5 linked regions of the Cricetulus griseus genome follow. The protein of the gene in region 4 purifies or fractionates together with the protein of the main gene of each other region. This does not show direct contact. Links are inferred from orthologs where the notes say so. Each region holds a gene or a part of one and is shown on either strand. Other genes may lie near its edges.

What was found.
Region 1: the proteins of Ago2 (region 4) and Ddx20 purify together in Homo sapiens (affinity purification with western blotting; 3 studies listed by BioGRID). This does not show direct contact. The link is inferred for Cricetulus griseus from reciprocal best matches to the Homo sapiens genes AGO2 and DDX20.
Region 2: the proteins of Ago2 (region 4) and Gemin4 purify together in Homo sapiens (affinity purification with western blotting; 4 studies listed by BioGRID and IntAct, with this or other methods). This does not show direct contact. The link is inferred for Cricetulus griseus from reciprocal best matches to the Homo sapiens genes AGO2 and GEMIN4.
Region 3: the proteins of Ago2 (region 4) and Tnrc6c purify together in Homo sapiens (co-immunoprecipitation; 6 studies listed by BioGRID and IntAct, with this or other methods). This does not show direct contact. The link is inferred for Cricetulus griseus from reciprocal best matches to the Homo sapiens genes AGO2 and TNRC6C.
Region 5: the proteins of Ago2 (region 4) and Tarbp2 purify together in Homo sapiens (co-immunoprecipitation; 10 studies listed by BioGRID and IntAct, with this or other methods). This does not show direct contact. The link is inferred for Cricetulus griseus from reciprocal best matches to the Homo sapiens genes AGO2 and TARBP2.

The regions. Positions count from the first base shown.
Region 1 is NW_023276806.1:51,319,545-51,323,620, forward strand, and holds the start of Ddx20 (probable ATP-dependent RNA helicase DDX20), read left to right. Parts: upstream 1-1,275; 5' UTR 1,276-1,303; coding exon 1,304-1,604; intron 1,605-1,960; coding exon 1,961-2,055; intron 2,056-4,076.
Region 2 is NC_048600.1:89,667,677-89,671,804, forward strand, and holds the start of Gemin4 (gem-associated protein 4), read right to left. Parts: upstream 2,806-4,128; 5' UTR 2,684-2,805; coding exon 2,674-2,683; intron 1-2,673. Other genes in the region: diazepam-binding inhibitor-like 5, read left to right, coding at 3,489-3,752. UniProt on the Homo sapiens protein: The SMN complex catalyzes the assembly of small nuclear ribonucleoproteins (snRNPs), the building blocks of the spliceosome, and thereby plays an important role in the splicing of cellular pre-mRNAs.
Region 3 is NC_048600.1:130,270,296-130,273,808, forward strand, and holds part of Tnrc6c (trinucleotide repeat-containing gene 6C protein), read left to right. Parts: intron 1-56; coding exon 57-2,642; intron 2,643-3,513. UniProt on the Homo sapiens protein: Plays a role in RNA-mediated gene silencing by micro-RNAs (miRNAs). Required for miRNA-dependent translational repression of complementary mRNAs by argonaute family proteins.
Region 4 is NC_048595.1:370,801,995-370,805,507, forward strand, and holds part of Ago2 (protein argonaute-2), read right to left. Parts: intron 3,309-3,513; coding exon 3,172-3,308; intron 1,667-3,171; coding exon 1,532-1,666; intron 1,035-1,531; coding exon 947-1,034; intron 1-946.
Region 5 is NC_048595.1:398,895,144-398,899,095, reverse strand, and holds the start of Tarbp2 (RISC-loading complex subunit TARBP2), read right to left. Parts: upstream 2,810-3,952; 5' UTR 2,669-2,809; coding exon 2,616-2,668; intron 2,506-2,615; exon of another isoform or gene 2,375-2,505; intron 2,088-2,374; coding exon 1,918-2,087; intron 810-1,917; coding exon 707-809; intron 181-706; coding exon 88-180; intron 1-87. UniProt on the Homo sapiens protein: Required for formation of the RNA induced silencing complex (RISC). Component of the RISC loading complex (RLC), also known as the micro-RNA (miRNA) loading complex (miRLC), which is composed of DICER1, AGO2 and TARBP2.

The sequences.
Region 1 (4,076 bases), on a different chromosome or scaffold from region 4:
TCTAGTGAAATTTCCTTGCCAAAGATATTTCTACACAATTGGGATATGGGAAACAAGACCAGAATTATACGTAGGGACAAATGAGGTTTGTCATAGGTCTTGTCAACTTGAGAGTAATACTCAGCTAGGAGAAAGACTCTGCAGGTGTGTGTGAGAGGAAAATAGCGTTCAATGTGTCAGATTTTTGTTTTTCCTCCTAGTGGCAGAAGAGAACAAGTCAGAATAGTTTCCTGCCTTCGGGGGAAGTGAGGGAGACAATAAACATTCATGAAGAGTGACCAGGGGTGATAAGGCACACACCTGTCATCTCAGTATTTGGGAAGTCGAGGCAGGAGGCCAGTCTGAGCTGCATAGGGAGACTTTGTCGAAAAAGAAAGAAAGAAAGAAAGAAAGAAAGAAAGAAAGAAAGGAAAAGAAAGAAAGAGAAAGAAAGAAAGAAAGAAAGAAAAAGAAAGAAAGAAAAAGAAAAAGCCAACCAAGCTAATCAAACCAAAAATCAAACAAGTGGTGAGAATAACGGGAAAGGCCAGGGAGCAGGCAGGACGGGGGTGACTAAAGATTTCAAGAAAGACCTCTTACAACAAGGTGACATGTGAGCGGGTCCAGAGGAAGGGGAAGTGGTGTGCTAGTTGCCCACCCGAGATCGGAAGGAAGGGCAGACAAAATGAGTTGAACCGGAGAGCTCTATTAGCCTGGAGATTCGAGAGAGCGCCCACGCAGAGCCTGGGAGTTGGCGGTCCAGTCAGTCTCCCGCACTGTGCTAAGGGGCTGGGGCGCCGACGTGACAGGGCTCTCCGAGGGCAGGGAACCCCGTTTTGCTGTGTTCCGGGGCGCTGTCTGCGAGCACTGAGGAGCAGCGGGGAAAAGTGCGGAGGACGAAGACTTCGGCGCGGCCTCAGTCAAGCTAGACCGGGGCAGCGGAGCCCAGCGGCGGCCGAGCCTGACGCTCTGGCTGCGTCACAAAGCGCGCCGCGAGCGCCGGGTTCCGGAGCAGCGCCGCGCGGCCCGTCCGTCAGAGCCGCGGGAGGCGGGCGGCGCCCACCGCGGGCACGCGACGCCCTCTGCAGGCCGCCGGCGGCAGCACTGGTAGCCTCATCTTCCTCGCTCCTCCCGCCTCTTCCTCAGGCTACATTTTTGTCCGTCCCCAGAGCGCCAGCCTCCGACTTCCGTTCGTTTCCTCCACTTCCAGGCCGGGTGCGTCCGTGTCTTCACCGAGAGACTGACAATAAAGTTTTTTCCTCTTCTCGCTCCCAGGAGCCCCGCCTCGACTCCAAATATCGCGAGATCTCGAGGCGCGGCTACCATGGCGGCGGCATTTGAAGCCCCGGCGGCCTTGACAACCGCGGAGTCCGCTATGGCGGCGGAGCGCGCGGCCGTGCGGTCCCCGGCCGCGGAGCCGACTCCCAGCTCCCCGTGGAGCCTGCGGACCGCTCACGACATCGGCGGGCCGCGGACGCGTACCGGGGACGTGGTGCTGGCGGAGCCCGCGGATTTCGAGTCGCTGCTGCTGTCGCGGCCGGTGCTGGAGGGGCTGCGGGCGGCCGGCTTTGAGAGGCCGTCTCCCGTGCAGCTGAAGGCCATCCCGCTGGGGCGCTGCGGGCTCGGTGAGGACCGGGGCCGGCCGCGGGCGGGGGCCTGGCCCCGGAGAGCTCCGGCTCCGCGCCTTTGCGGGGCTCGGCAGTGCTCGAGGCGCGCAATTGGATCGGAAGGCGCCGGGTCCAAGCTGGAGACGAGCAGCGGTAGAGATTCGGGGACTAAGGGGCTGGAGAAATGTCTCCGTGGTTGATGCACGCCTCGCGCGCGCTTCAGGGTCAACTAAAAATATAGGTGACAGTTAGGTGGTCTTAGGAGAGAATCCGGCCGTTCCCTGGTCCTATATTGGTATCTAGTTGCTTCAGCGAGTCTTGCTAATGATACCTATTCTTTTTTTCTTTTCTTTTTTTCTTTCTTTCTTTCTCAGATTTAATTGTTCAAGCTAAGTCTGGCACTGGGAAAACTTGTGTATTCTCCACCATTGCTCTAGACTCCCTTCTTCTTGAAAACTACAGTACTCAGGTGAGTAACTCAGAGGATCCAGACGGGGGGTGTGTAGCACGTGGCCTCTAGCTAGACTTATGAAAAACTACTGACTCCTCACAGATGGTGTGTTTGATGAATCGGAGAATGTGAAACCGTAGGAAAATTACAGAAGTAAACTACATAGATGGTAAGGTCGTTGAGTTGTGGCCGAGAATATCATTATTAAGTTTTTTTTTTAAATTTGGAGTCTTCTATAATTACATTTTGAATATGTGTTACTTAAAATCATTATGCAATTAAGAAACTTTTTCTTGGGCTGGAGAGATGGCTCAGTGATGAAGAGCAGTGACTGCTCCTTCCAGAGGTCCTGAGTTCAATTCCCAGCAACCACATGGTGGCACACAACAGTCTGTAATGAGATCTCCTGTCCTCTTCTGGCCTGCAGGCAGAACGCTGTATACATAATAAATAAATAAATCTTAAAAAAATTTTTTTAAAAAAACTTTTACTTACTAGATTGGGGTTAGAAATAAACTTAAAAGTTTTGGTTTATATAATACGCTATGGCAGAACTTAATATGGTTGTGGTTTTTTTGGTTGTATCCCCCCTCACCCCCAAAGGGTTTCTCTGTGTAACCTTGGTTGTCCTGGAACTTGCTTTGTATATTAGGCTGGGCTCGAATTCACAGAGATCCTCTTAATTTTAGGTTGCCTTGGAATAGTTTGAAGATTGTCCTACTCAAACTAGTAGGAAATATGGGTTTGGGAGATAATTCTTCAAAAAGATTTGTTCAGTTAGTAATACATGCAAATACTACACTAGGCACTGGGGATTAAGCAATGAGTTGGATGTGGTCCTCCCACCATCTTCTGGAGTGTAGTAGTATAGTAACTTTATTTCAGGTTAAGAAGTGTCTGTTGTGATGATGAATCTTGAACAGTGTTGGTTTTTTTTTTTTTTTTTTTTTTTTTTTTTTTTTTTTAACCCGGGATCCTTGTATTTGTTGTCTAGGAATCTTTTTGAGCTCTGTATCCACCACATTCTGGCAGATACTGAATATAACTTAAGGACAGTGGCTAGTCTATTTGTAAATTAAGATGTGTTTGAGAGAGTTTGGCTTGTGACACTTGGCAGCATACCAAATCCTAAACCTAAGTAAAATTCCCTTTTTTTTGTTAAAGTATTTATATTATTAAAGTGTGTGTGTGTGTGTGTGTGTGTGTGTGTGTGTGTGTGTTTATCAAAGTAACACTACATAATTGTTTTAAGTTGGGAAATTTCAGGGAAAAGAACAAAGTACCAAAGAACTCTAAATATGTGATGTGTACCCAGAGTTAAGAGATTTTTAAAAAAATATATTTTTATTATTTCCTTGTCTTTTTTTTAAGCAATATTTTCTTATAGTGACAATATGTATGTTCTGCAGTTTTTACTATGTGTGGCTCTCATGGCCTTTGGAACCTAACTCTGGGAGTTAACTCTGAGATAGAGTCCTCTTAAAATCTTAGTACCTGGGCCTTTTTGCTGCTCCTTATGTGTACCTTAAGGCCTTTGGATTTGCTTTTTCTTTTTCTGAAGCACTGCTTCTGGTGTGTTCCACAACTAGCTCTATGCTGTATGTCTCAAATGTTACTTTCTTATGGGACTTTTAAAATTCTTTGTTTGTTTGTTGGAAGCAGGCACACTCTACCTAATTCTAGCTGGACAGAAGCTTACAACATAGACTAGTCTTCAGTTTGAGGCAATCCTCATATCTCTGCTTCTAGAGTGTCGGAATCATAGGTGCATGCCAAAACGTCACTTCGGAAGGGCTTTCTGATCATTTAAAATGATTTCCCTTGTCAGGTCTTTCTTTTTTCCCTATTTGATTTTTTTTTTTAAATAATACTTTTTATTACATGTATATGTTTTTGTTTATGTTATAACCAAAAAGTGCCAAGAGAGCAATTCTTTCACAACTTGTATGTTTTCTCCCATATAGTACGTTCTTAATAATTAACCGAATAAATGGAATATTTTCTCCTGTTTTAAAACTCCTCTTACAATGAAAAGTAGT
Region 2 (4,128 bases), on a different chromosome or scaffold from region 4:
AGCTTTGAACTCACAGAGAACTGCCAGCCTCTGCTTCCTGAGTGCTAGGATTAAAGGCATGCACCACACCCAGCTGAGCTTTTGTTTTTGAGCCCAAAGCCTTGCATATACCAGGCAAGCACTCTACCACTGAGCTGTATTCCCAGCCCTGCCTTCCTTCTTCCTAAACACACTGCTGCTAATGGGTTTCAACATTCTGGGCCTTACAGGGAAAAAGTTCACCCAGCAGTTTCTTCTAGTCAAAAAGGACACTACTGAACATTCTGGCTCTGTGGCAGGAACCAAGAAAACATTCATTCACTGAGCTAAGAACTGATAAAGACATTTAAAGAAAGGCAATATGGGAGTTTAATCAAATAATGGATTTAAATCCTAGCTCAGTCATTCAAAAATGTGACTTTACACATTACTGAGTCTGTCTGCATACACAGACTATAATCTTCAGTGGTATAACCATGAAAACCACATGACATACAACATATACTAGTCATACTTTTGGAACTATTTTGGTACTGTTACCTTCTCGAAACATCTTTCAGGGGTGGGAGAATGGAAGGTTACTATCGCAACAATAATCAGACCACAAAGAGCCTGATTTAAATGTTCAATTGTTGGCAGGCCCAGTCTTCTCACTATTTTGTCTCCTCCAGTGCAAAAACAAAAGGACACAGGTCTTTATCAAAGTGTATAATTTGGCCTAGAAACTAAAGATTCTAACAACTGGGAGTTGAAGAGATGGCTCAGCAGTCAAGAGCACTGGCTGCTCTTCCAGAGGACCTGGGTTCGATTCCGAGCACCCATATGACAGCTTGCAATTTCTGTAACTCTAGTTCCAAAGGACCTGAAACCCTCACATCAATGTCCATAAAATAAAATTATTGTTTTTATAAGTTATTTTTTAAAAAGAGTGTAACAACTAACTGGTCACGGTCACTGTTCCTGACAGCGCCCACCCATTCCCAGGGCCCAGAGATGCCTAACCCTTCCTTCCTCATGTCCAGTTTCCCATGCTCCAAGGAACATATTTTCCCCATTCTCATAGGCCAGAGTCAGCTGCAAAAATACTGACTCCAGTGGCCAGTTGTGGTGGCCCATGCTTCTAATCCCAGCTCTAGGGAGGCAGATTTCTATGAGGCCAGCCAAAGTACATTGTGACACCCTGTCTCAAACCTCCCCTACCCCCAGGGGGAAAAAAAGTGATGACTCCAGGGAACTAATGAATCTCTTGGCCACTAACCATTTACTCACACACCCAAAAACAAGTCAAGGATCAACACTCCTACTAAACCCAGGCCTGAAGGCAATGCACCTTGGCTTCCACAGTAGCAGAAGGCCCAGAGTTAGGTTGCTGTGGCAGGGTTCTTTCTGGCTCAGGTTGCCCTGCCCTCAACACCATTCCCTCGCAACAGTAAATTCAATTTAACTGCATTTATCAGCTTAGCCGAGCAGATGTCTGCCGACAAACATGAGATTTTCAGACACTGTGTACATGTGACTTGACAAAGTCCCAGACTCAGTTAATAGCTAGGGGAAACTGCAAGGCTTTATCAGTAGCTGGTGCTAGGAAGTGACTGCTTACTCTGGTAGGCACGGGGCTTGGTGACATACATTTTTTTACCCGTGACATAGGATCTTGTTATGTAGCCAGGACTGGCTTGAAACTATATAGAGCAGGTTGGCCTAGAACTCTTGAGATCCTCCTGTGTCTGCCTCCAAAGTGCTAGTTAGACATAAGCTTCCACACCCAGCTTTACACCTAAAAGACCATTTGATCATCCAACTAACTTCTTGAGGATTACCACTCCTGTTTTAGAGATGGAAACCTCGAGGCCCACATACAATTTGTGCAGGGTGTCTGAGTCAGCGGAGTCAAGCCATGGCAGAACTCTTGACAGCTTCGGGGCATGAAACTACCTAAAGAGCTGGCTGGGACAAAGATCTTTCTCCATAGCTTATTATTTGCAAATCTTGGAGTACCTCCCGGGACAGCCTCCCTGTCTTACCCTCTAAAGAGCACACCTAGCAGGGTGGGGAGGCTTGGCAGATGGCCACAGATTTCTATCAACGCCGCTCTCCTTCCAGACCTCGCCTAAGAGACTCCAAATCAAAGGATTCAAAAAGTACCATCTCTGTCTGCTGCTGCTGCAAACCCTGCTCGAAAGCGAGGGCTGCGGGACACCACTGTGCACAAGTCACCGTAAGGCGCCCAGTTATGCACGTGGTCTCAAAGAAACGCCAAGCCTGGGAGGAAAGCGGTATCAGCATCTCTGCTTTGTGGACCAGGAGAGCTGCTAAGAAACTTGTTCCCCGACTCGGCAGTCACCCAATAAGGAAGAACGGTCCGGACGTCCGTTCCTCCCAGCCCGGCATTTCCGAAACACGTGCAGTAGCCCTGTGCACTTTCAGGGGGTCCAGGGCTACATTCGCTCTCTGTTTTCTAATGGGAAAGAGACCACGAGGCGGAGGAGGGATCGAGGAAGACCAACACGAGGCCGGGCTGCGGGCTGGAGGCCGGCCTCGCGGCCGCGGGTCCCTAAAAACTCCTCAGACCCCCGGCCTCCAGAGTCGGCTCCGGAGAGCGCCACTGGAGGAGCACAGGGCCTCGGCCCACCCTGGAGGGGCTCTGCCGGACGCGGCCCGACACCAGGCCGGAGTAGGGAAACGCGAACCCACCTAGGTCCATGGCGGCGAAGCTGGCGGCCGGGCTGGACCGCCCCTCCCACTCCGAGGCCGCGAACGCGGTGCCCCCGCCACGGCACAAAGGGCGGCGCCACAGGCGCGTCACAGGTACCGCCCACAGCTCGTACGGGCTTCCGATCAGTACTCCGCTCCCCGGCTGCTGCTCCGTGCGCACGCGTCTTCCGTCCTCCTCGACAAGCTCGCGGCGTCGAGGCCGACCAGGCCCACAGCGCCCCCTCTCGGCCCTAGGCTTCCCAGCCGGCCGTCTACCCTCAGGTAGGTAGGCAGGCTCCTTGCGGAATTACAGTTCTCTTGAGGCCAGGAGGTCCAATCCCTTAGTCCAGACTTCTCACTCTCACCCAGGAACCCCCACGATTCACCTCCAACGGAATGGCCTTTCCCAGGCTGCCCACTAACCAGCAGCGGATCCATGGGGCTCCCCGTCCAGCCTCAGAGACACACAGAAATGCCCAAATGCTTTTCAGCTCTCATAGGCGCCTTTGTAAGTTTGAAGGACAGTCACACTGGGCAAAGCACTGTGGGACAGGGCCAATCGAATGGATTCCTGGTCAGCAACTTGTAGTTTTTCAAACACACACACACACACACACACACACACACACAGACACATACACACACACACACACACACACACACACACACACACACACACACGTGTTCTTCCCACACATTATCTCTTTGTCCTTTCTTTCCAAGGCCTAATAATCGTCTGCTTTGCTTATTCCCAACTCTCTTCTAGTACCAGGTATCACTAGAACAGAGAGGCACACACAGCCTCTGGTGCAACAATGAGCCAAGTGGAGTTTGAAATGGCCTGCGCTTCTCTCAAGCAGCTGAAGGGTCCTGTGAGCGATCAGGAGAAACTGCTGGTGTACAGCTTCTACAAACAGGCCACCCAGGGCGACTGTAACATCCCCGTCCCTCCAGCCACAGATGTGAGAGCAAAGGCCAAATGGGAAGCGTGGAATGTGAACAAAGGGATGTCCAAGATGGATGCTATGAGGATCTATATTGCCAAAGTGGAGGAGCTAAAGAAAAACGAGGCTGGCTAAGGACATTTTGGCAGACACAAGGAAATAGCAGTGGCTCCACTGGTGGGGAATGGGTTTAAGAACTCCTGATGGCTGAAACATACTGAAAAGGGTAGCAAGGTTAGCGGAGACATCAATAAATCACTTGAACGGCACAAGAGTGGAGTCTGTGTCAAAGAGCAACTCTGTGAGGGTCCTGGAAAGCAGTTCAAATGTGTAAAAGCACCTCTGCTGGCTAAAACTCCATTAGTCATGCTTTGTGTGGTCTGACTGGCTATGTGGATGGATATTTGGCAGAAGAGGGGATGGGTAGGGGTGAATCACGCTATGAAAATGACCAAGGTCGGAAGTGAGGCAGAGCTTGGACCTGTATCAAGGGCTGTCAACTCACCAAGAA
Region 3 (3,513 bases), on a different chromosome or scaffold from region 4:
TTCAGTGGCAAGTGGGAAGAGAATATAATTTTGAGTTTCCTTTCATCTTTTTTCAGATCCTGGTCACAGTGGATTGGCAGATCATTATGAAAATTCCCACTGGGGACAGCAGCCCTCTTACAGAAGTGAAGCCAACTGCGGCTGGGATAAAGTGACGCTAGACAGGACTGACCAGGAGGTGTGGCCGTCCATCCCCGTCACAGAGACTGAATCTGCCTCAGAATGTCCTGCGGACACTGACTCTGCCTCCACCTGTGGCTCAGAGAACAGTAGTATGGCTACAGGGAGCACCCAGGGCAGCTTCACAGGACATCCCAAGAAGACAAATGGCAATAATGGCACCAATGGTGCACTCGTCCAAAGCCCTTCTAATCAGAGTGCCCTTGGGGCAGGTGGAACCAACGGGAATGGAGGTGTGGCCAGAGTGTGGGGTGTAGCCACAGGCTCCAGCTCTGGCCTGACTCACTGCTCTGTTGGTGGTGGAGATGGAAAAATGGACAACATGATTGGAGATGGGAGAAGTCAAAATTGTTGGGGTGCTTCCAACTCCAATGCGGGCATTAATCTCAACCTTAACCCTAATGCCAACCCAGCTGCCTGGCCTGTACTCGGGCATGAAGGAACTGTGGCAACAGGCAACCCTTCCAGTATTTGCAGTCCAGTCAGTGCCATAGGTCAGAATATGGGCAGCCAGAATGGGAACCCAGTGGGCACAGTAGGTGCCTGGGGAAACTTGCTGCCCCAAGAGAGCACAGAACCACAGACGTCCACTTGTCAGAATGTGTCTTTCAGCGTACAACCTCAGAACCTTAACACTGATGGATCAAATAACACTAACCCCATGAACTCTTCACCAAACCCTATCAATGCAATGCAGACGAACGGACTGCCAAACTGGGGCATGGCTGTTGGCATGGGGGCCATCATCCCGCCCCACCTGCAAGGCCTTCCTGGTGCTAACGGATCATCAGTCTCTCAAGGCAGTGGAAGTGGTGGGGAAGGAATGGGCAGTTCTGTGTGGGGACTGTCCCCTGGTAATCCTGCCACAGGAAATAACAATTCTGGGTTCAGTCAGGGGAATGGAGACACTGTGAACTCAGCACTAAGTGCTAAACAGAATGGATCCAGCAGTGCTGTGCAAAAGGAAGGGAACGGAGGGAATGCCTGGGACTCGGGGCCACCTGCGGGTCCTGGCATCCTTGCCTGGGGAAGGGGCAGTGGCAACAATGGCATTGGTAATATCCATTCAGGAGCTTGGGGCCACCCCAGCCGCAGCTCTTCTAATGGTATGAATGGGGAGTGGGGGAAGCTCCCAAACCAGCATTCCAGTAGTGACATCAGTGGGAAAGGATCAACAGGGTGGGACAGTCCCAGTGCTGCCAGCCAGCCACCTGCCTTGCAGCCTGGCAGTGAACACGTGAGCTCGTGGGCCAAAGCCACATCTTCTGGAACTACGCCAAGCGAAGGGAGCAGTGATGGCTCTGGCCATCACAGTGAAGGGGGCGCTGGGCGGGAAGCAATGGGTGAGGGCAGGAGGCGAGACCAAGGGCACATCCAGTTGCCCAGGGGCGATCTTGACCCACGAGTTCTGTCTAATACTGGTTGGGGACAGACTCCTGTAAAGCAAAACACTGCCTGGGAATTTGAAGAGTCCCCTAGGTCTGAAAGGAAAAATGACAATGGGACAGAGGCCTGGGGTAGTGCAGCTACTCAGCCTTCAAACTCAGGGGGGAAGAGTGATGGGTCCCTCATGAACAGTACAAATACCTCTTCAGTATCGGGGTGGGTCAGCTCACCACCTGCCGCCGTGCCAGCAAACACAAGCTGGGGAGACAGCAACAACAAAGCGCCAAGTGGCCCAGGAGTTTGGGGGGACTCGATAAGCTCTACTGCTGTTAACAATGCTGCTGCCACCAAGAGTGGCCATGCTTGGAGTGGGACCGTAAACCAGGAGGACAAGTCACCCACCTGGGGTGAGCCTCAGAAACCCAAATCTCAAAACTGGGGAGATGGACAAAGAGCAAACCCAGCCTGGAGCGCAGGAGCAGGAGACTGGGCAGATTCATCCTCGGTCCTTGGACATCTAGGGGATGGGAAGAAAAATGGACCTGGATGGGACGCTGACGGTAATAGGTCAGGGTCTGGCTGGAACGATGCCTCGAGATGTGGAACCAGTGGCTGGGCCAGTGGCGCAAGTGCTAAGGTGAACCCAGGTACAAACTGGGGGGAGTCTCTCAAGCCTGGTCCCCAGCAGAGCTGGGCTCACAAGCCCCAAGACAGCAATGTGAGTAACTGGGGAGGAGCTGCTTCTGTTAAGCAGACAGGGACAGGGTGGATTGGGGGGCCACTGCCAGTCAAGCAGAAGGACAGCTGTGAGGCAACTGGCTGGGAGGAGCCTTCTCCACCGTCCATCCGACGCAAAATGGAAATCGATGATGGTACCTCAGCTTGGGGGGACCCAAGCACCTACAACAATAAAACTGTAAACATGTGGGACAGAAATAATCCAGTCATCCAGAGCAGTACCACAACCCCTGCCACCCCCACGACCCCCACCTCGAGCAGCACCACACACCAGGCCGAGACGCCGCCTTCACACCAGGCTGGCACTCAGCTGAATCGGTCGCCACTGCTCGGGCCAGGTATGCTGGGGGCCCTCTGGTCACACCAGTGGTGTGTGCTCTGTGTCTATGTGTGAATCCTTGGACTGATGCTCGTAGCAAGTGACTACGTAGAGTAGGTGTTTCCAAGGGAACAACAAGGCACCATCCTCTGGTAACTTTCCAAGGAAAAGCAGCACTGGGTATCCTCAATACAGCCAGGGTTTCCAGCCGGTTTGGTCCTTTTCATCATCCTTCCAACAACCACAGGCTAATTTGTTTTGAACTTGTGCTGTGCTCTGCTTGTCTGGGTTCTTTGTCAGTAATGGAACCGTTGGGCAGTTGACATCTTTTTTTTTTTTTTTTTTAATAGGAGCAACTTTGAAATCTTCCTGCTGTGCAGCTGTATTCTGACTGCCTAAATCACTTGTTGGTGGTTTTGTGCATTTCCTTGGCCTTTGTCCTGTTGATGAAACTTTACTTGGTCTTAGTTAATACCACAATCAAGTTACAAGCTCATTCTTAGGCCCTGTACTGTGCAAACAGTCTGGGTCTGCCCCATACCGTAATCCAGCCTTTGCATGACAGGGCCAGCACCAATGAGATTCGGGAGGAAAGAAGCCCAGGACCCCTTGCCTTAGTGTATCTTCTGCAAGATATCTTTATTACTAGATAAAACAAGTGGTTCTCAGCCCCGGCTTTCCTTAAATTGCCTTGGCACTTCCTGAGGTGGTCTGTCAGTCCCAGAGAACCTGATTTAATGGTTCTGTCTTCACTGATAGTTTTAAAGTTCCTCCTGGAGATGAAACTATGTTTGTAAAACTTCATTATACAACTCTATTTTTATTTTAGTTGAAAGGCAGATTTCAAAATCACACTAAGACTTGTGTTTGGAGTTTCTGCTCTGTGCAAG
Region 4 (3,513 bases):
TCAGCAGCCCACAGGTGTCCTTGCTTCGCCCAGACCTAAAGTCACATCCTCCACTCCCTTGCACATGTGGGATTTCTATGTTGGAATTCATGCTTGTTTTTTAAAAGACTTATTTTATGTATATATCTGCACATCCCAAGGGACCACCGTTATAGATGGTTGTGAGCCGCCACGTGGTTGCTGGGAAGTGAACTCAGGTCCTCTGGAAGAACGGTCAGTGTTCTTAACCTCCAAGCCATCTCTCCAGGCAGAGGCATCTTCGTGAGTAGTTTCAGGCCAGCCTGATTTAAACATTGAATCCCTATCTTAAAACAAAACCAAACAAAATGGGGGCTGGAGAGATGGCTCATAGGTTAAGAGTACTGGCTGCTCTTGCAGAGGATCCAGGTTTGATTCCAGCCACCTGTAACTCCTGTTCCAGGGATCTGATGCCTCTCTTCTGGCCTCCATGGGGACCAGGTGAACAGACATACATGCAGGGAAAACAGTCATACAATAAAGATATAAATTTAAAAGCAAAACCAAAAAATCCCAACTTATTATATTTTAAATTGTGTGTGTGTGTGTGTGTGTGTGTGTGTGTGTGTGTGTGTGTGTGTGTATGTGTGTGTGTGTGAGCTCGCACATGTATATATGTGGATACAATACATTAAGAGGGCACTGCAGCTGGAGCTACAGGTGGTTGTAAGCTGCCCAACATGGGTGCTGGGAACCAAACTTGGGACCTCCAGAAGAGCAATATATGCTCTGAACTATTGAGTGATTTATCCAGCCCCTAGGGTTCACTTTGTAGAGTGGAAAGTGAACGAGCCACAGAGGTAGCTACTAGATTTTAGGAGCACAAATAAATCCTTGCAGGACAGTCTCATGACTTCCAGTGTCTGGGAATATGAGTGACAGGACCAGCCTGAGTTTGTAAGGAGGGATGACTGTTCAACTGCCTTACGTTTGGTGACTGGCAGGCCGGCGGGTCACATTGCAGACACGGTACTTCCTCTTCATCTGACCACAGTGCGTTATCTCCACCTTTAGACCTGGTGACAGACAGCAGGCATCAGAGTTACCCTTGCCATGCACCTATAGTCCAAACTCCAGTCTAGAATCAATTTGCAGACATGGCAGCTCTGGCCACATTTGAAGCCATAGGCTTCTAGAGCCGAGAAGTAAGAAATGAGTGCTATCCTCAGGATGCCATGGCTGCACCCACCTTGTCCTGAGATGCCAGCACAATTCAGCTCAGTAAGATTTGGGTGTCACCACTACCACTCTCTCACAGTGATTCTAGTCCTAACCTTTGTGGCTCAGACAGGACAGGCATCCCAGCTGCTCCCACCCATGTAGTTGTGCTCGTTAGCGCCATGGGCCCCCCTGTGTGAGTCCCAGCTATCTCAGAGTCAGTGTGCCTTGTGGCTCACTCTTCCCATAGCTCCCATCTCCCTCATCAGAGTGGAACAAGAACCCATCCATGCATGGGTGGGGACCCCAGAGGGGGCCCTCACCCCCTAGCCTGTTGCTCTGGGTGGTTCTTTACCTTTTATTTCTTTGGTAAACTTTACCCTTTGGGAATCTGTCAGAGGTTTTTGTTGTTCTTCAATACTTTTAAAATCCAAAACTTCACAAACAAACTCGATCACCGGCTGTGCCTTGTAAAATGCAGTTGCTGACACTGTGCAGGAAAAGCAAGAGACAGACAAGAACATCTAGAGTAATCCATGTGACTAGTAGCAGGCAGCTCAGGAGGCCTGGCCTCAGTTTCTCCTGTATGCTCCCCCGCTCCTCTTATGTAATGAGAAAACCAATGTCCACTGTGCCCAGAGCTCCACACTAACCAAGGAGATTCCATGCTTTTCTCTAGCCATAGGCAATGGTAAGGGATTGGCTGAGACTGAAGAAGTCACCCAAAGAACTACTGCGGTCTTTTTTTTGGTTTTTCGAGACAGGGTTTCTCTGTGTAGCTTTGGAGCCTATCCTGGTACTTGCTCTAGAGACCAGGCTGGCCTCGAACTCACAGAGATCCGTCTGCCTCTGCCTCTGCCTCCTGAGTGCTGGGATTAAAGGCGTGTTCCACCAACAACCGGCGAACTACTGTGGTCTTATAAACAAATCTAGCTTGACACAGAACAGCCAGGACCTTGGACCCTGTAGGCTTTTCTGGCCACCTACTTCTGCCAGAGGCATTTCTGAGGTTTTTCCATTCATGCAATTCTTTTGCAGTCAGTATGAGCCTGAGCAAGATATGACCTAGGGCCTTCCTGGAGCTGCTGCCAAAACTTATCTTCTATGTGAGAGGAGGCATCGATCCTCCTGATTGTTGGTCTCTGGCAGAGGGAAGCGGACTCAAGCACAAAGTATGACCCCTGAGTTTCCTGAAGCAGTGTCCTCCCATCACTGAGAGCTACGTGGATCGTGAGGGCTCTGAACCAAGCAATATATTGATGGAGTCACAGTTGAATGGCATTTCTGGAAGGCTGCAAAAACTCAGACAGAGGTCTCCTGACTGGAGAAGTAGATGGCTGTGGGTGTACCTTCAGGGGAGCTCTTACCCCTGGCTCATTTCCATATGCCTCCTTCCCAGGCACCATGAGATAAGCAGCCATGCTGCATCACAGCCTCTCTGCAATGGTGCTCAGCTTCAGAATGATAGCATCAGCTTATTGTGGACTGAGTCCTCTGAAACCCCCAGTGAATCTTTAACCACTTTAAATGGTTTCTTCTAGGTACTTGTCACAGCAGTGACAGTCAAGCTGGAGGATCAACAGACAACGGCCACCCATTGGCACCTAATGGTGCTCTTCTCTCAGTGTAAACAACTTGAGTACTCAGGAAACATGGAGAGAAAGTGAGGGATGTGGCCCCAACCCCAATACTTGTGGTGTTCCAGCAGTGCACAGGGCCTGGCAGAGTCAGCTCCCCAGGCTGGCTAAAGGGCCCCTGGGAATGGAATACTCCAAAGGCTCCGATACCCAAACACGAACCACCTCAGATACCAAACACACGGTTGACACAGGCTGGTAACATTCCACGTCTCTGGCTTCACCAAAGGCTAGAGATAGCTATGAGAATCCTTCCTAAGGTCTGGCCACCTCTGAAAGCTTTCAAATCTCCGTCCTGTGTAATGCAGGTTGCACGGGCCCCATTCACCCTGCAGTGAAGCCCATAGGCTTTTCTTACCATCAATATTCAGCATCATTTTCCAAAGAGAAGGTCGGACGGACTGATGGAAGCCAAACCACACTTCCCGGCCCCCGCCCAGGGGGTTGGAACAGCCTTCAGACGCAGTGAAGAAGGAACGGCCAACGGGGGTGTACCTGCCAGGGAGACAGCCCTCTCCTAGTCAGAAGGGAGTCAGTCAGGAAGGGCCAGGCTGACTCCATGCTCTCCTCCTGTCATCCCAGCAGGCACACTGACACTCAGAGACCATTCTAGGTTTTTTCCTGTGAAGTCATGCTCATCATATGGAGTTGTAGGCTGCATCCACACAGCGTAAGCAGTAGCTGATGGAGGTGTGAGGGG
Region 5 (3,952 bases), about 28 Mb from region 4:
AGACTTCCTCATCCTAACCTGCCTGGGTCCAAGTGCTATGAGGCTAGGGGCCTGCCTCCCTCCGAGATGTCAGGGAACTCAAGGTACCTGGTTAGTATAGCAGATGGAACAGGGGCAGCAACTTCAGCAGCAATGACAGGAGTGTCCTCGGGCAGTGAAGACTCTAGGAGAGAAAAAGAACTTCCCAAGGGGAAGGGAGCCTTGGATTCACACCCATGTAGAAGGGAATGAGAGTATGAGGTCTTTCTGACCTTTCCATCCCCTGAGAGAATCCCTTCCCCCTGATCTAGACTCAAGAGAGCCTCAGCAACAGCTCTTCCTCCTGGGATCCTCTGCTGACCCACACTGGCTCAAAAGCACTGAGGGTGGGGTAGGGGTAGGGCTCAGAAAACAGAATTTCTTCCTACCCAACAAGCTCCAACCTGAATGTAGAAGAGGGAAAGTCATGTGGCTAGAAAGGGGGCGTTTTGGGACCATCAGCCTTATCAGCCTTAGTCTCCACCCTCTATGGCTTACCCCGGGCCCAGAGTAGCCACCACCCATCAAAGGGGCTATTACCCTAGAAGCACCCTAGAGGAAATTCTCAGGAAGGGGCCAGGTCAGGGTGGCCATGAGTCACCAGGCCTGGATTAGGAAGAGAAGTAGGTGGTGAGGAGGCCTGGTTCTCAGCAGGGCTTCTAGTGTCCCTTGACTGTTCCTCCCTCACCTGCTGTCCTCCAGGGCTGGTTCCAGCATGCTCCCCCCTTTGAGGTGTTTGAGGGCCACCTCAGCTGCCTTGTGCTTGGCTGCCTTCTTGCTGGGGCCCTGACCTAAGAAAAGGGGTGTGGGCAATACTGGAGGTCACCAGCAGGACAGCAGAGAAACCAGCCCCCACAGCCTCTCTCCTTACAGCCAAGGGATTGAACAGCTCGCTTACCAACCTCCCCTGCCAGACTAGAAGGGCTCTGCTGACTGCTCAAATAGTCTTTGTCCTAGTTAGTTTTAACTGTCAACTTGGCACAACCTCGGATCATATGAAAGGAGAGCCTTTATTGAGGAATTGCCTAGCTCAGACTGGCCTTCGAACATGTCTGTGGGAGACTGTCTTGATTGTTAATTGAGGTAGAAATGCTCAACTATTGTGGTACCATCCCTTGCAAGGCAGGTGGCCCTGAATGTGGAAGCACTGGGCATCTGCCATTGTTCCGCTGTGCTTCTGTGGCTGTGAAGTAAGTGCCTTGGTCAGCTGTAATGCTGTGTGGAACAGCAAGCAGGCAGCAAGGATGAGTTTATTCTCTTTGCTCTCTGCTTTGTGGATACCTTCCCCACAATGATGACTGTAAACCAATCAAGCCTTTCCTCCCCTATGCTGCTTTAGTTAAGGTGTTTTATCACAATATAAATGGGCCTAGAGCAGCCCTTAGCTTTCAATTATCTCCCATAATTAAGTCATGTAAGGCAGGATTTGAGCTCCAACACTGGGGAGAGGGGAGGTGTCTTCCTTTTCTCTGCAAAAGCACTTTCTTTTCCCTCAACAAATAAGCAATAGAGACAACAAAGGATCAGTTCTAAAGTCAAAGCTCTACTCTGCCACTTATTAGGGCCAGTCATTTAATTTCTGATACTAAGCCCTCTATGGTCAATATGGGTCAAGAGGCCAGCAAAGTGTGTGTTTGCTCCCCCAAATACCCATGGGTAGTTCAGTGTCTCATCTACTTTTCATCTAAGGTGGTAAGAGCAGCAAATTCCTGTGACATTTCCTGTTCTCACCAGTGAGTCTCTCGGGTCCTATCCACCTTCAGGCAGTGGTTTTTCCCCTGAAACCTCTCCATCCCTCCCTGGCCTTAAAGGAGAGGACTGTGGTGAAGCGATCCCACGATATTAAGCCACGGGCCCTGTGAATGCACACCCCAGCCAGGCTGCCCAAGCCTTCCTCACCAGTGCAGCTGGTGTCGCCAACGGTGACCCGGAAGGTGAAATTAGGCTGATGGGCTTGGCCCTCGGCTTTGAGAAGGTCGTACACGGGCGTCTTTCCTATTCTGGTCCCATACTCCTGAAGAAGGCTGATCGGGGTCTTGCCCGGGTTGGCGGCCAGCATTTGCTCTATGCTGGGAGGGAGGGGCACACACCAATATCACACTTCCCCTTTCGGCACCCACCTGACCAAGCACTGTCACATTAGACCTAGCACATTACTGGGTCCATGGATCCCCAGGCAGTATAGCATCCATTGACTGGGCTAACAGTTAAGTTGCAGGAGGGAAAGCAAGGTCCTCTACCCCAAGGCAAGTGGAAACTGTACTGTTCTCAGTTAAGGCGAGGGAGCCTGTGCCGTAGTGCTGGTTGGACGTGCATTTCCCCCTGGCACAATGGAATTCGGGAACCCAGTACCCACCAAACGCACTGAACATCAGGGCATAAAGCGTAAGGCTCCAGTGCAGTCTGGGAATCAAGCCAACCCCAAACTAGAGCTGGAGGCGGTGGCCACTGACCCAGTGCATGCCGGGAACCTCTGCCCACTACCCCAGTGCTTGCTGGGAACAACCCTCAGGCCAGGTGCATGCTGGGGCTGCGCCGCTACCCTCCGCACCGCCTCACACTTTTCGTCCTGCAGGAATGGAAATTAGGCAGCTCACCTGGGCAGCCCGCAGCCTGTGGTAGTGCCGGAGCCCTGCTCCTCTTCACTCATTCCCTCCTCCGTCCCCGCGGGCGCCACCGTGACTACAGCCTCCACGCGCCCCAGTACACCGCCGACGAGCTAGGGCCGGGGCCAAGCCCGGAGTCGCGGCCGGTAGGGCCCGCCGCGGGGCATGCTGGGATCTGGAGTCCCCCTCCCATCCGACTCCTTGTGTCTTCATCAGGAGTCGAGCTACCCGCCCCACAACTCTCCGCGTGGCTCGCCCGGGCGCCTGCGCCGCCCTCTGGGAGGAGCGGATCCTCCACGGAAGCTTCTCAACCTACCAGTGGTTTTAGTTTTCTAATGTCGTCCCGCCTTCTTCCTTGCGCACTGCCTCCTCCCAGGCCGAGACTGTGAGCATGCGTACTAACGGGGTGGAGGCGGCTGGGGGCGGGGCGGTAAGGCATGCCACCCTCAGAGAACTACAGAGCCCAGGTGCCCGCGCGCCGTCCGGTCGCCGCCGCAGGCTTCGCGGCTTAATCGGCAATGCCGAGAGCGACTTCCCAAGGCGCTTTTCGATTGGTCATCTGGCCCAGAGGGCGGGGACGGGGAAAGGGATAGGCTTCCTGAGGAAGGGTTGTGATTGGCGGAGGAGGCTGCCGGCGTGTTTCTTTTGCTGCCCCAGAGGGTGGGCCTTACCTGGCCGCCCCCGCCCCAGAGCTCTGGGGTTGTTGTAAGTTTTTTTTCAGACACTGTCTCCCCAGGCACCAGTGTGAGTGCCAGGCCCCTCGGGCCTCGTGTCAAAAATCCTGCTGCTTTTGTGTGTGTGTGGTGTGTGTGTGTGTGTCTTGTCCTTCGCCTCTCTTCATTAACTGCACGCAGCCTGTAAGGGTTTGCTACTCCTTAAATAGGCCCTACTGAACCTTTCTTTAACTCTCCGGGAATCTAGGGCCCGAGAATCATTAGATGTACCTTCTGCGGTGTTTTGTAGCCTCAACTGAAAGAACACGAGAGTAATTAACGAACTAAATTACGCGCAGAGCTAAACAAGTACTTTTGGATCCCCAAAGTCTTGATACCACCAGAGTGCAGAATGTGGGGGAAATCTTGTGACCTTGGATAGAGGAAGAAAGAGACAGATACCACGAAAAACGTGATTCAAAGAGTGTTTTCAGAACGGGTCTAGGAAGAGATGTCTTGCTAAGAGGGGATGGGGGCTGGAGGTGGAGGAATCTTGGGGTGATAATCAGGGGTCATCCAGGAGCTCTGAAGTGGGAAAGGCCGCACGACTGGGTGAAACAGAAGCAGTGACAAGGGCAGGCAGACCAGCTGGCGACTTTGGTATGAGAAGGGACC